Oryctolagus cuniculus: one gene and its partners. The protein of the gene in region 1 interacts with the protein of each later gene in a pairwise test. Links are inferred from orthologs where the notes say so. Each region holds a gene or a part of one and is shown in the gene's direction. Other genes may lie near its edges.

The links. The genes of interacting proteins can lie anywhere in the genome.
Region 2: the proteins of TRIM27 (region 1) and RAB29 interact in binary tests that used the Homo sapiens proteins (3 or more experiments, as listed by UniProt). The two-hybrid records come from large-scale screens. The link is inferred for Oryctolagus cuniculus from reciprocal best matches to the Homo sapiens genes TRIM27 and RAB29.
Region 3: the proteins of TRIM27 (region 1) and POLR3C interact in binary tests that used the Homo sapiens proteins (3 or more experiments, as listed by UniProt). The two-hybrid records come from large-scale screens. The link is inferred for Oryctolagus cuniculus from reciprocal best matches to the Homo sapiens genes TRIM27 and POLR3C.

What each region holds. Positions count from the first base shown.
Region 1 is NC_091436.1:154,135,710-154,140,088, reverse strand, and holds the start of TRIM27 (zinc finger protein RFP), read left to right. Parts: upstream 1-1,466; 5' UTR 1,467-1,811; coding exon 1,812-2,231; intron 2,232-3,406; coding exon 3,407-3,502; intron 3,503-4,379. UniProt on the Homo sapiens protein: E3 ubiquitin-protein ligase that mediates ubiquitination of various substrates and thereby plays a role in diffent processes including proliferation, innate immunity, apoptosis, immune response or autophagy.
Region 2 is NC_091444.1:21,088,680-21,092,289, reverse strand, and holds part of RAB29 (ras-related protein Rab-7L1), read left to right. Parts: intron 1-757; coding exon 758-829; intron 830-3,017; coding exon 3,018-3,199; intron 3,200-3,610. UniProt on the Homo sapiens protein: The small GTPases Rab are key regulators in vesicle trafficking. Essential for maintaining the integrity of the endosome-trans-Golgi network structure.
Region 3 is NC_091438.1:49,048,779-49,052,423, reverse strand, and holds part of POLR3C (DNA-directed RNA polymerase III subunit RPC3), read left to right. Parts: intron 1-357; coding exon 358-438; intron 439-681; coding exon 682-733; intron 734-743; exon of another isoform or gene 744-806; intron 807-1,342; coding exon 1,343-1,403; intron 1,404-1,854; coding exon 1,855-2,005; intron 2,006-2,528; exon of another isoform or gene 2,529-2,581; intron 2,582-2,712; coding exon 2,713-2,814; intron 2,815-2,933; coding exon 2,934-2,983; intron 2,984-3,434; coding exon 3,435-3,584; intron 3,585-3,645. UniProt on the Homo sapiens protein: DNA-dependent RNA polymerase catalyzes the transcription of DNA into RNA using the four ribonucleoside triphosphates as substrates.

The sequences.
Region 1 (4,379 bases):
TCTGATCCATCTCCCTGCTAATCTGCCTGGGCAAAGCAGTGGAAGATGGTCCAACTGTTTGAGCCCCCGCAACCACATGGGAGACCTGGAAGAAGCTCTTGGCTCCTGGCTTCAGCCTGGCCCAGCCCTTGCTGTTGCGCCTGTTTGGAGAGCGAAGCAGCAGATGAAATATCTGTCTCTGTCCCTGTCTCTTTGAGAAAGAACTCTGGCTTTCAAATAAATAAATAAATCTGTAAAAATAAAAAGTAGTCTTCCCCTCCCCCAACACCTTCCCGGTTGTTCCAGGATCATTTATTGAACTTTTAGAGCCAATCTGATTTTTCCTCTACATGATACCAAATTCTTACCAACATTTTAGTCTATTTCTCAATTTCCATTCTGTCCCATCGATCTGTCAGCTTATTCTTACTTTAAGCACTGTACCTTTGCGGCATTCCTATTATTTTTTCAGCCAGATGAGAAGAGAGATAAGAGAGGAGAGAAGCTGCACAAATATGCATAAATACCTTAGGTCTAATGGACTCTCCGAACAGTATGGCCCCGCCCAATATTTCTACGTTTTTTGTAAGTGGGCTAGGGTTACTGGGGTCTGGAATTTCACAGACTGGGTACTCAGAGTGTGGTTCAGAGGACGTGGGCTTGGGGTTGGCATGTCCACTTCGCCTCTCGGATCCCTCCAAACAGAAGTTCCGGAAGCAGAGGCCCTACTGCTGAGACCCAAAACCACACTGAGAAAAATCCCAAGGAAACCAGCAAATACCAAGTAGGGATGACGGGAAATCCACTGTGTGATAAGAGAACAGACAGCCCGGGATTCCAAGACCCCGGGGCACTGTGGGATTCGCACTCTGAACTTCAGAAAGGAACAAGAGGTTTTCAGGTGCCGCTCAATACAACAACCCTACGCCGTGGGTATTTTGCGGTTTTCACGGATAAACATCCTTACGGCTCAAAAATTAAACGATTAAGTCTACCTTCTTGCTGAGGTATACCGATTCTGAGGCTCAGAATGGTAAAACACCTTGCATGAGCAGAGATAGGGAGTAGCAGAACTAGGCTCGCGGTTTTTCTCCCTGCGGAAATGTTTCAGAATGATAAATACACCCATTTTTCCCCCTAAACAAAACGGCGAGCGGCAGCAAATGATGGCTCTGCTTAACAAAGTGCGTCACGTACCGGATGCAGCTCAGTTTGCAGCCCCATCCGCTAGCCTCAGGGCCTGCGCTTCCCAGTCCTACACAAAGCCAGCCCTCTCTGGCAAGGGCTAAGGCCTGAGCGCCCAAAGAAAACCTCACAAAAGACCAGGGGTCCTCAGCGCCCGGTTCGGAGGTCCCGTCCCGACCCGTCCCGCCCTGGGGCGCGCGCCCAGCCAAGCCGCCCTCCGCGGCAGGAAACAGCTAGGCCCCGAGGCCAAGAACCGCAAGCCCCGCCCCACGCCGCCCCGCCTCTTCCGGTCGCGCCGGGGCGGGGTCTCCGCGGCCTGCGGGATCCGCTTGGACGCAGCCACGTTGTCCTGCGCGCCTGGCGCGCCTGCCCCTGTGAATCCGGCCCGAGGCGCTGCGCGCCTGGCCCCCCTACCCGCGTAGCCGCGGGGCTCCGTCGGGAGGCAGCCTTCCGGGCCTCGTTCAAAGGGTACAACAGGGCAGCGAGCTGCCCGGCCGCCGGAGCCTCCCAGGGAATCCGGGCCCGAGGGGCACCGCCCTCCGCCCGCCCGGCTCGAGCAGCGACCCGGAGAGAGCGCCGGAGAGTCGGGCTCCGCGCAGAGCTCGGCGCCGGGGGCCCATGCCCGTGCGCCCCCGCCAGCCCGCGCCATGGCCTCCGGGAGCGTGGCCGAGTGCCTGCAGCAGGAGACCACCTGCCCCGTGTGCCTGCAGTACTTCGTCGAGCCCATGATGCTCGACTGTGGCCACAACATCTGTTGCGCGTGCCTCGCCCGCTGCTGGGGCTCGGCCGAGACGAACGTGTCGTGCCCGCAGTGCCGAGAGACTTTTCCGCAGCGGCACATGCGGCCCAACCGGCACCTGGCCAACGTGACCCAGCTGGTGAAGCAGCTGCGCACCGAGAGGCCGTCCGGGCCCGGCGGCGAGATGGGCGTGTGCGAGAAGCACCGCGAGCCGCTGAAGCTGTACTGCGAGGAGGACCAGATGCCCATCTGTGTGGTGTGCGACCGCTCCCGCGAGCACCGCGGCCACAGCGTGCTGCCGCTCGAGGAGGCGGTGGAGGGCTTCAAGGTGAGGGCCCCCCCCGGCGCGCGCGCAGCGAGGCGGACAAAGGGAGGGGAGAGCCACGGGGGCTTCCCCTTTTTTTCCTTGCCTAGAAAATGGCTGAGCCGGACGTGTGGTTCACAGCCGTCATTTCCTCTCTGTCCGCTCCCGAGCCTCCGCACTCGGATTTGGAGGAAAACCTGTAGCTGCTGGGGAAGCCAGAAGTCGCCCCACCCCACCCCCACTCCTATCCCTGTGTTTCCCAGATCTCGGACGCTATGGACATAAAGACGTTCCCTGGAGCCCTTCCCCCACCCCCACCCGCAAACCCGACACCCTACAAGATGTGCATAAAGCTGTGTACACATCAATAGGCTCCTGAGACACTCTGCTCCCAAATTATAGAGGAAACCCGCTCGGACGGTGACCGCGGTGTCCGAGTCATCCGGCAGATGCCCGTCACTTAGTCTGTAAGCACTTCTTGTAAACCGTCTTGTTCTAGAAGCTCATGGAAAGGAACACATTTCTCCACTGCTTGAGTAAGGCATTTCGCCATCCTGAGACACGGGAGATAACAGGTATTATGATTAAGGGGATAAGAAGTGCAAAGCCTTTTGCAAACTGTTGAACCGACTGCGGCAGCAAAACAATAACACGGAAACAAAGTATCACGTGCAAAAGAGTTTTAAGGAGACATTCCAGGCGTCCTTGATGTTGTCTGTTTGCTATGTGTTTGAGGGCTACAGGATTATACCCACAGTTTTGTCCGTGTTTAAAAGTGAATGCATTTCTGCATAGTCACCTAACATGGAGCTTTTAACTGCATCATTTCACCTGCTCTCCTTGTAACTGGAATAGGCTGGGAAAGTGGTATTTACCCGTCACACATGAGGAGAATTAGAGAAGTTGCTTCATTTTCTCAGTGGACCTCTGTGGAAGGTCTACAACTTGACTTTAAATCTCCTAGTCCAGTCACCCTAATGCTAAACTGGGTAGAGGATTCATTTAAGAAATGCACACATTGCCATAGAAGAGAGGTGGTGGCCCCTGTGCTTTGAGTCTTCTGTGGATGGTAGTGTGGTCTGAACACAGGCTCGCACCAGGCACCTGGCATCAGAATTGTAGTTTCTGTCTGTGGGGAAGCAAAACAGCCATGGTTATACTATGGCCTGCCCAACTTTTTTTTTTTTTTTTTTTTTCAGGAACAAATCCAGAACCAGCTGGACCATCTAAAAAGGGTGAAAGACTTAAAAAAGAGGCGCCGGGCGCAGGGGGAGCAGGCACGCGCTGAACTCCTGGTAAGGGCTTTTGGAATTCCCAGATAATAGCGCTTTTGCTGGTCCGTGCTTCTGTCAAGCCAACTTGCTCAGTTCTTCCAGTTGCAAGTGAAACAACCCCATGTGGCAGTGGAAACTTAACCTGGAGAACCAAGGGGCTCCCCTACTTTTGGGGAGAGGGTGGAGGAGCTGTGCTTGGGAGTCATAGATACCTGCTGGATCAGTAAAGTTTAGCTTGTTAGCTGCTTGTGGGCCAGGACTGATGTTTGGCAGACTTGAGATAGGTGAAATTCTTGAGAATAGTTAGCTGGCATCCTGTGGTGCACTATCCTTCTCACAGGTGCTGGTGATGGATTTGTGTCAGCCCCACTGGTTGACTTTCTGGAGTGTTCATTCCCCTTTCTAAACAGAGTTTTTCGCTCTGTTTTCTTTGAGCAGTCTTCCAAGGCTTTGGCAGGAACCTGATGTGCTAATTCTGATATGGGTATTTTGGAGTTTTGTTTTAGAAAAACAAAAAGTACAGAGGGTTTTATCATATACACTTACATATTTACCACCTAAGTGTTTACAATGTGAGTGGAATAGATAAAATGTTACAGACCTCTAACCATTAGAGGTGTTTGCATCTGAAAAGCAAACTCCTAGACTAGCAGTGTCTGGAATCTTGAGAGAAATTGTGTCAGTTCTAAGTTGTGTCCCTTCTAAGCAGGGAGCTCATTCCTAAGGTGTCCTTAGATTCCACCACTTGCTCTGCCCACACAATCTGCTGAGACCACAGTTCCCCTTACTTTCAAAAGAGATTTCATGGATGAAGAATATTCTTCATGAACCTGAGTCCACTTCAATCATAGTGCACACAAAAATTGTCTTCTGGGCAGGATTGTCAACAAGGAGACAC
Region 2 (3,610 bases), on another chromosome or scaffold:
AAACCGAACGTAGAAGATGCAGTGCAGCGCCCTCACCTCATTTCCCCATCTCCCCCATCGTCTCTGAGAAAATCCCCTAAATCTCCCAGGAACTGCTCAACGGAGAGAGGGGGGCTGGTCTCACAATCACTGCTGCCCTTTTGCGCCTGGCCTTGGAGTCACATGGATTGTGTGGGCGGGAGAGCAAAAGTCGGGCACCCCTTTGGAGAATAGGAATTCCCTGTCCCCCACTTAATATGCCAGGCTGAGCTCATTCAGACCTACTGAGGGCTTAAAAATAAACAAACGAATGGCTTTGGAATTGTGTGTCCCCAGGGTTGTAACTGCTTCTCGGATATGAGTGTATCCCTGTGGTTTTTTTGTTTTGTCGTTTTTGTTTTTTTTAATTTTCAGGGAAGGGTGATTGTGGCCCAGCCTGTTAAACCCCGGCCTGGGATGCCCGCACCCCGTGATGGAGTGTCTCGGTCAAGGCCTGACTGCTATGCTTCCTGCTAATGCACTCCCTAGAAGGCAGCAGATGATGGCCCAAGAGCTTGGGCCCTTGCCACGTATGTGGGATACCCTGATGGAGCTCCTGGCTCCTGGCTTCAGCCTGGCCCAGCCCAGGCTGCTGCAGGCATTTGAGAATAGAACCAGTGAATGAAAGATCTCGTTTGCTCGCTTGTTCACTGTGCATTCAAGTAGATGCAATAAGTAAATAAAAATCTTTTTAAAATAAAAGTAAATTCTGTTAAAATACGACCTACCTGTGTTTCAGTGGACTTCGCGCTGAAGGTGCTGCAGTGGTCCGACTCGGAGGTGGTGCGGCTGCAGCTGTGGGACATTGCAGGTGAGCTGGGAAGGCCGGCTAGGAACAAGCGAAGGCCTGTGACCTCACCAATAAGTGCTTAGAAAAGAAGCGGGCCGGCGAGACCAGAAAGGTTTTATCTGATTGGGCTGCTCGGAGGAAAGGAGCCGAGAGGAGGGGGAGCTTGGGCAGATGTTCTGCCCGGGATGGACCTGGAGCGGCGTCTGGCTAGGAGGAGGAGCTAGCAAGGTGGTGGACTATCCCAACTGGGGGTGGATGTTCCTATAGCAGGGGTTTGCAGCTGACTCTGAGGAGAAACAAGGAACCCAGAAAACAGGATGATAATACTGGACCCTTACTATGCCCCAAGCACTTTCCTGCGGATGTTAAATTCAGCTGGTGGGGTGCAGGGGAGGGAGGAGAGCAGACAGAAGCAGATTGGAAAACAGGTACCAAAACGCAGAGAGAAATAACAGATTCTAGGGACCGGTGTTTGGCATAGCTGTGTAGACATGCCCCTCACCACGTCCACATGCCATATCCAAATGCCTGGATTTGAACCCCAGCTCTGCCTCTGATGCTAGCTTCCTGCTAATGTGCACCCTGGGACACAGCAGATGATGGCTCAAAAACTTGGGTCCTGCCACCCACCTGGGAGACCCAGATTCAGTTCTGGGTCCCTGCCTTTGACCTGGCCAACCCTGGCTGTTGTGGGTAAACCAAGGAATGAAAGATTCTCCTCTCTTTTTCTCTTTCTCTGTCTGCCTTTCAAATAAATAAAAGTGAATAAATATTCAGTAAAAGAAGCACTAGATTCTAGTGTTTTTTTTGTTGTTGTTGTTGTTTTTTGACAGGCAGAGTGGACAGTGAGAGAGAGAGACAGAGAGAAAGGTCTTCCTTTGCCGTTGGTTCACCCTCCAATGGCCGGCGCGCTGCGGCTGGCGCACCGCGCTGATCTGATGGCAGGAGCCAGGTGCCTCTCCTGGTCTCCCATGGGGTGCAGGGCCCAAGTACTTGGGCCATCCTCCACTGCACTCCCGGGCCACAGCAGAGAGCTGGCCTGGAAGAGGGGCAACCGGGACAGAATCCGGCGCCCTGACCGGGACTAGAACCCGGGGTGCCAGCGCCGCAGGTGGAGGATTAGCCTAGTGAGCCGTGGCGCTGGCCTGATTTGATTGTTTTATGCTATATACATGTGCTGAAATACTGCATAGTACCCCATGAAAATGTACAGGAAATGGGGGCCAGTATTTTGGCATAGTGGGTAAAGCTGCTGCCTGTGATGCCAACATCCCATATGGGTGCAGGTTTGTGTCCTGGCTGCTCCACTTCCAGTCAAGCTCCCTGCTAATGGCCTGAGAAAAGCTGTGGAAGATGCCCAAGTGTTTGGACCCCTGCAACCTATGTGGGTGCTCCTGGCTCCTGGCTTTGGCTTGGCCCAGCGCTGGCTATTGTGACGTTCTGGGGATTGAACCAGCAGATCTCTCTCTGACTTCCAAAATAAATATAAATAAATAAATAAAATGTACAGGTGTTACATGTTAGTAAAAACTTTTAGAATAAAATTTTCTTAATTCAGGGACTCATTAATTCCAACAACCCTATCATAAAAGCTGATTTTCTAAAAAGATTTATTAATTTATTTGAAAGCCATAGTGACAGAGAAAGAGAGAGAGAGATCTTGCGTCTACTGGTTCACTCCCCAAATGGTTGCAACAGCCGGGGCTGGGCCAGGCTGCAGCCAGGAGCCAAGGACTCCATCCAGGTCTCCCCCAGGGATGGCAGGGGTCCAAGCACTTGGGCCATCTTCTCCTGCTTACCCAGGAGCACTAACAGAGAGCTGGACTGGAAGCTGAGCAGCCTGGACTCAGACTGGCACTCCAGTTTGGGATGCCAGTGTTCCTAGTGGCAGCTTAACCTTTCACTGTGCCACAACACGAGCCCCAAAGCAACTGCTTTTGACTTCACTTCACACACGAGAAATCTGAAGCACTTAGCAAGTCACACAAATAACAGTAACTGAGTCCAGATCTGGAGTGGGAGACTGGGAGCAGAGTCTGCCTTGGGGATGACTGAGTTTAGTAGGCCCTCTGTGGGATGGAGAGAAGACCAGGAGTGGGAGAGGGCAAGTCAGAAGGTTCCTGTGTCGCGTACGGGTGAGGCCTCTCCGACAAGAAAGGGCCGGTGGGCAGGTGGGGTCACCTTCTCGAGGGCGGCCCTTCCTCCCCAGGGCAGGAGCGCTTCACCTCCATGACGCGGCTGTACTACCGGGACGCCTCCGCCTGTGTTATCATGTTTGACGTTACCAACGCCACTACCTTCAGCAACAGCCAGAGGTGGAAACAGGACCTGGACAGCAAGCTCACCCTGCCCAATGGAGAGCCCGTGCCCTGCCTGCTCTTGGCCAACAAGGTCTGTGGCCAGTGTGAGAAAGTAACTCCCATTTCTTCTCTGTGGTCAGAGAGCAAGCATATCTGAAATGTCCTCTGGGGGTAGGCTTTTCCCCTGGCGGTCAAGCTGTCACTTGGGGTGCCCGAATACCATAGCAGTGCCCGGATTTCCGTCTCTGCCCCACTCCCACTTCCTGCTAATGCATCCCTGGGAGGCAGCAGGTGAGGACTCAGCTGGGAAACCCGGATTGAGCTCCTGGTTCCTAGCCTAAACCTGGCCTAACCCCAACTGTTGTTGGCAGTGGGGAGTGAACCAGTGAAGGGGAACACACACAGACACTCTCTCTCTCTCCCCATGTATCTTTTTGCTTCTCAAATAAATACAAGGCTTAAATGCTCTCTCATTCTGAACATTTGTTTCACCTTTTCAATT
Region 3 (3,645 bases), on another chromosome or scaffold:
CTTTATGTGTATATATTTCTTAAATTAAAAAAGGAGACTATACATATTGTTGTACAATTTTTCATCTGACAGTATATGTAAAACTTGTTTTATGTCAGTATTTGTAGATCTGTCTCATGCATGTTTTCATCCTCATTCTTTGTGATGGCCGTATCATTTTCCACAGAGGGCTGAGATGGCCTTTATTGCTGTCAGTTCTTAGTACCAGACATTTGGATTGTTTCTCAGTTTTTGCTGTTACAAACAATGCTGCTGTGATTGTTTCCAGACATTTTTATATTTGTGACATCTAAAATTAAGACATCTCTGTTTCAATAATTCTAAGTTTCCAACCCACTTCCTCTTCTTCCCACATAGATCTTCAGATCCCTACCTGTTGGCTATAACATCTCTAAGCAAGTTCTTGATCAGTATCTCACTCTGCTGGCAGACGATCCAGTAAGTTTATTTTTGCTCCTCCCCCCACCTTTATTCTGCTCTATTTACAATTTATTTCTGCCACTGATACTGTGTATCATTCTCCTGTAGCCCCATTTTCTACCTAGGCAGCTCAGTGTCTCCACCATCATCTGATAGAAGGGCTATCTGCTGTAGACCCTTGGCTAGATTTGCTCCATTGGGAACAGAATCGCTAGACTTTCCATTCACTTAACACTCTCTTGTCTCTTTTTTTTTTAATAGCTAGAATTTGTTGGGAAGTCTGGCGACAGTGGTGGAGGAATGTATGTCATCAGTATCCTTACCAGCTATTTCCTTCGAGTCAGGCAGCCTGAACCATGAAGCAGAATGACAGCTTAGGAGAAAAGGATATGATAATGTTTAGTATACTGAATTGAAGTAATTTTCTATGAATTTTCAATGAACCACATTGATGATAAAGTAAAAAATACTTCTAAAAAATTTAGTTTATTTGAAAGAGAGACAGATATCTCCCATGTGCTGTTTCACTCCCCAGACACAACAACTGGGGCTCACTCAGGCTGAGGCCAGGAGCCCAGAACTGAATCCAGATCTTGTACGTGGTGGCAGGGACTCAACCACACGAGCCACCACTGCTGACTCCCAAGAACCACATCAGCAGGAAGCTAGAATCAGGAACAGAGCCGGGATTCGAACTCAGGCACTGCAACGTGGGCCACAGCTTCCCTACTGCTGCAGCAAATGCCTACCCCTGAAACGGACTTATCAGCAACCAAATTGCAATCACACCAGCCCCTTACTTAAACACAATCATCGGGTAATATTTTATAACGCTTATAGGCTAATAACATTTAAATTTTAACTTCAAGTTAGTGATGACCAGGCCAAACATTAGTGAGTGACCTTAATCCTCTACATAAAGACCTCCACAAGGCATTAGCATCCCTAGCCACAGCCACTTTGGAGTCCGTCGTACAGGAGAGGTAAGGGGTCACTCTGATTGGGATTGGGATGAGACCCTCCTTATCTATACCCCACTCAAACAAGCAATTTGGCCACTATGTAAACAGCTAATATATGCACACCTTGGTACACTTTGCTCCATTTTCCCACTGGACTGTTATGGATCCTTTCTTGTTTTACCGTGTGCCTTAGCAGATCTGTTTAGTTCCCAGTGATGCAGATTAACTAGCCTCCCTAAGCCTGTGGCACATGCAAGAACTGTGGCACTCACACAAGTCAACAGTTGGTGACTACCTTACTGTGATTAACAGTACCATCGCTGTGGAGTGATGTGGAGCTGTGAAAGGAATCCGTGATCACTGTTCCTCTCTGGTCTGCCGCACACATGGAAGAGAACAATCACCATCTGTGGTTAGGAGCTGAAGCTAATATGTGTTAGCATGCACAGTTGCTTTCTTCATTCCTTTCCAGGTTTGGATCTCGCTGTGCCAGAATATTCCGTCTAGTTTTGCAAAAGAAACACTTGGAGCAGAAGCAGGTAGAAGACTTTGCAATGATTCCTGCAAAGGAGGCAAAAGATATGCTTTATAAGATGCTGTCAGAAAATTTCATTTCACTCCAGGTAACCAATGGTGTAATCACTGCCAACCTGCAAAGCTGGCCTAGGGTGAGAAAAACTCCGAAACAAAAAATATCCTGAACCCTGAAACAAGCTCTGTACCCAGCTTAGAGACAGAAGAAGTGACTCATAAGACGTAGAAAGCACGTGAAGGATAATGTGGAGCTTTAGCTGGCCTGATAGGAAGAGTTACAGCCACGAAATCACCGGAAAGCTACCCTGCCCTCTCCTCATGACTTAAATGGATAATGGATTAGATCTGTTCACAGCATTTGGGGGTGCACACAGAGCCATGCAGGAGAGTCTGTGAAGAAGCAGAAAGAACAGCTTTTGGAGTCAGATCACAGCTTAGCCTCTGCCCCAGTTACACTGAGCAAGTTACCTACCGTCATGTTTCCCATCTCTAACATGCTGATGGGCGAGGGTAGTAGGATAATGTCACCTGCTAGAAGGATCAGCTGCAACCTCCCCGGCACATGGCGCTGCTCAGTAAATGTCAGTTACCTTCCCTCTCTTTGCCACTTAGAATGCTGGAGGTGAAATGGACAGCACGCGACTAGCCACGCACCAGGAACACAGGTGCTGAGTGGCAGGGGACTGCCGAGCGTGCGAGGGAAAGGCGGGCTAGGCGGCTCCGGGCAGCAGTGCTTCTGCAGTGCCAGCTGTGAAGCGTGCTGTGGTTCCTCTCATTTTTCCCTCTTGATAAACAGGAAATCCCCAAAACGCCAGACCACGCCCCCTCCAGGACCTTCTACTTATACACTGTGAACGTGCTCTCAGCTGCCCGAATGTTACTGCACAGGTGCTACAAGGTAACCCCACTGCACCAGCTCCCCGTCCCCTCCCCCAGACATGGCTCACCCATAGGCCCCTGATCCCAGCTTACCTGTGCTACTTAACAGAGTTGTGTGCTTTTCTTCTCTTTCCTCAGAGCATAGCCAATTTGATAGAAAGGAGGCAGTTTGAAACCAAAGAGAACAAGTGAGTAGCATTTTCAGTTGAGTCATTCACATTGTTCAAGCAAAGGCCTGAGGGGAAGTTTCCAGTAGAAATGGAAGCCAACAGAGACAATAACAGTCTACAGCAATAGAGACAATAGCCAGTCTATAGCAATAGAGACAGTAACCAGTCTGTAGCGTTGAATTGTTGGCTAATGTGGGCATGCATCGTGCATTAACCTACACTTTCCTGATAGACCTCCGATGACATAATTTCGCAAGTTAAATTTATGAGAAACATACAACAGCACCAAACTGAGGGGAAGTGAGGGACAGTAAGCGTTTCAGGAGTCAAGTTACATACCCAGTGCAATGTGTAGAAGAGCAGCCTTGACCAGGAATGTGGTAAAGGGGGAAGCGGGAGCTGTTCCTCAGAGACGAGGGGTAAGAGAATCCCCGGTGTTGGGAACTCGCCTCAGAGTTGTGTCTAACAGGCGTCTACTAGAGAAGTCCCAGAGGGTGGAAGCCATCATCGCGTCTATGCAGGCTACCGGCGCCGAGGCGGCACAGCTGCAGGAGATCGAGGAGATGATCACAGCTCCTGAGCGGCAGCAGCTGGAGACCCTGAAACGTAACGTCAACAAGTGAGTCTGGAAAACTGCAGGCCCTGTGTACTTCCAACAGCTTCCGGATAGGTCCATCTGG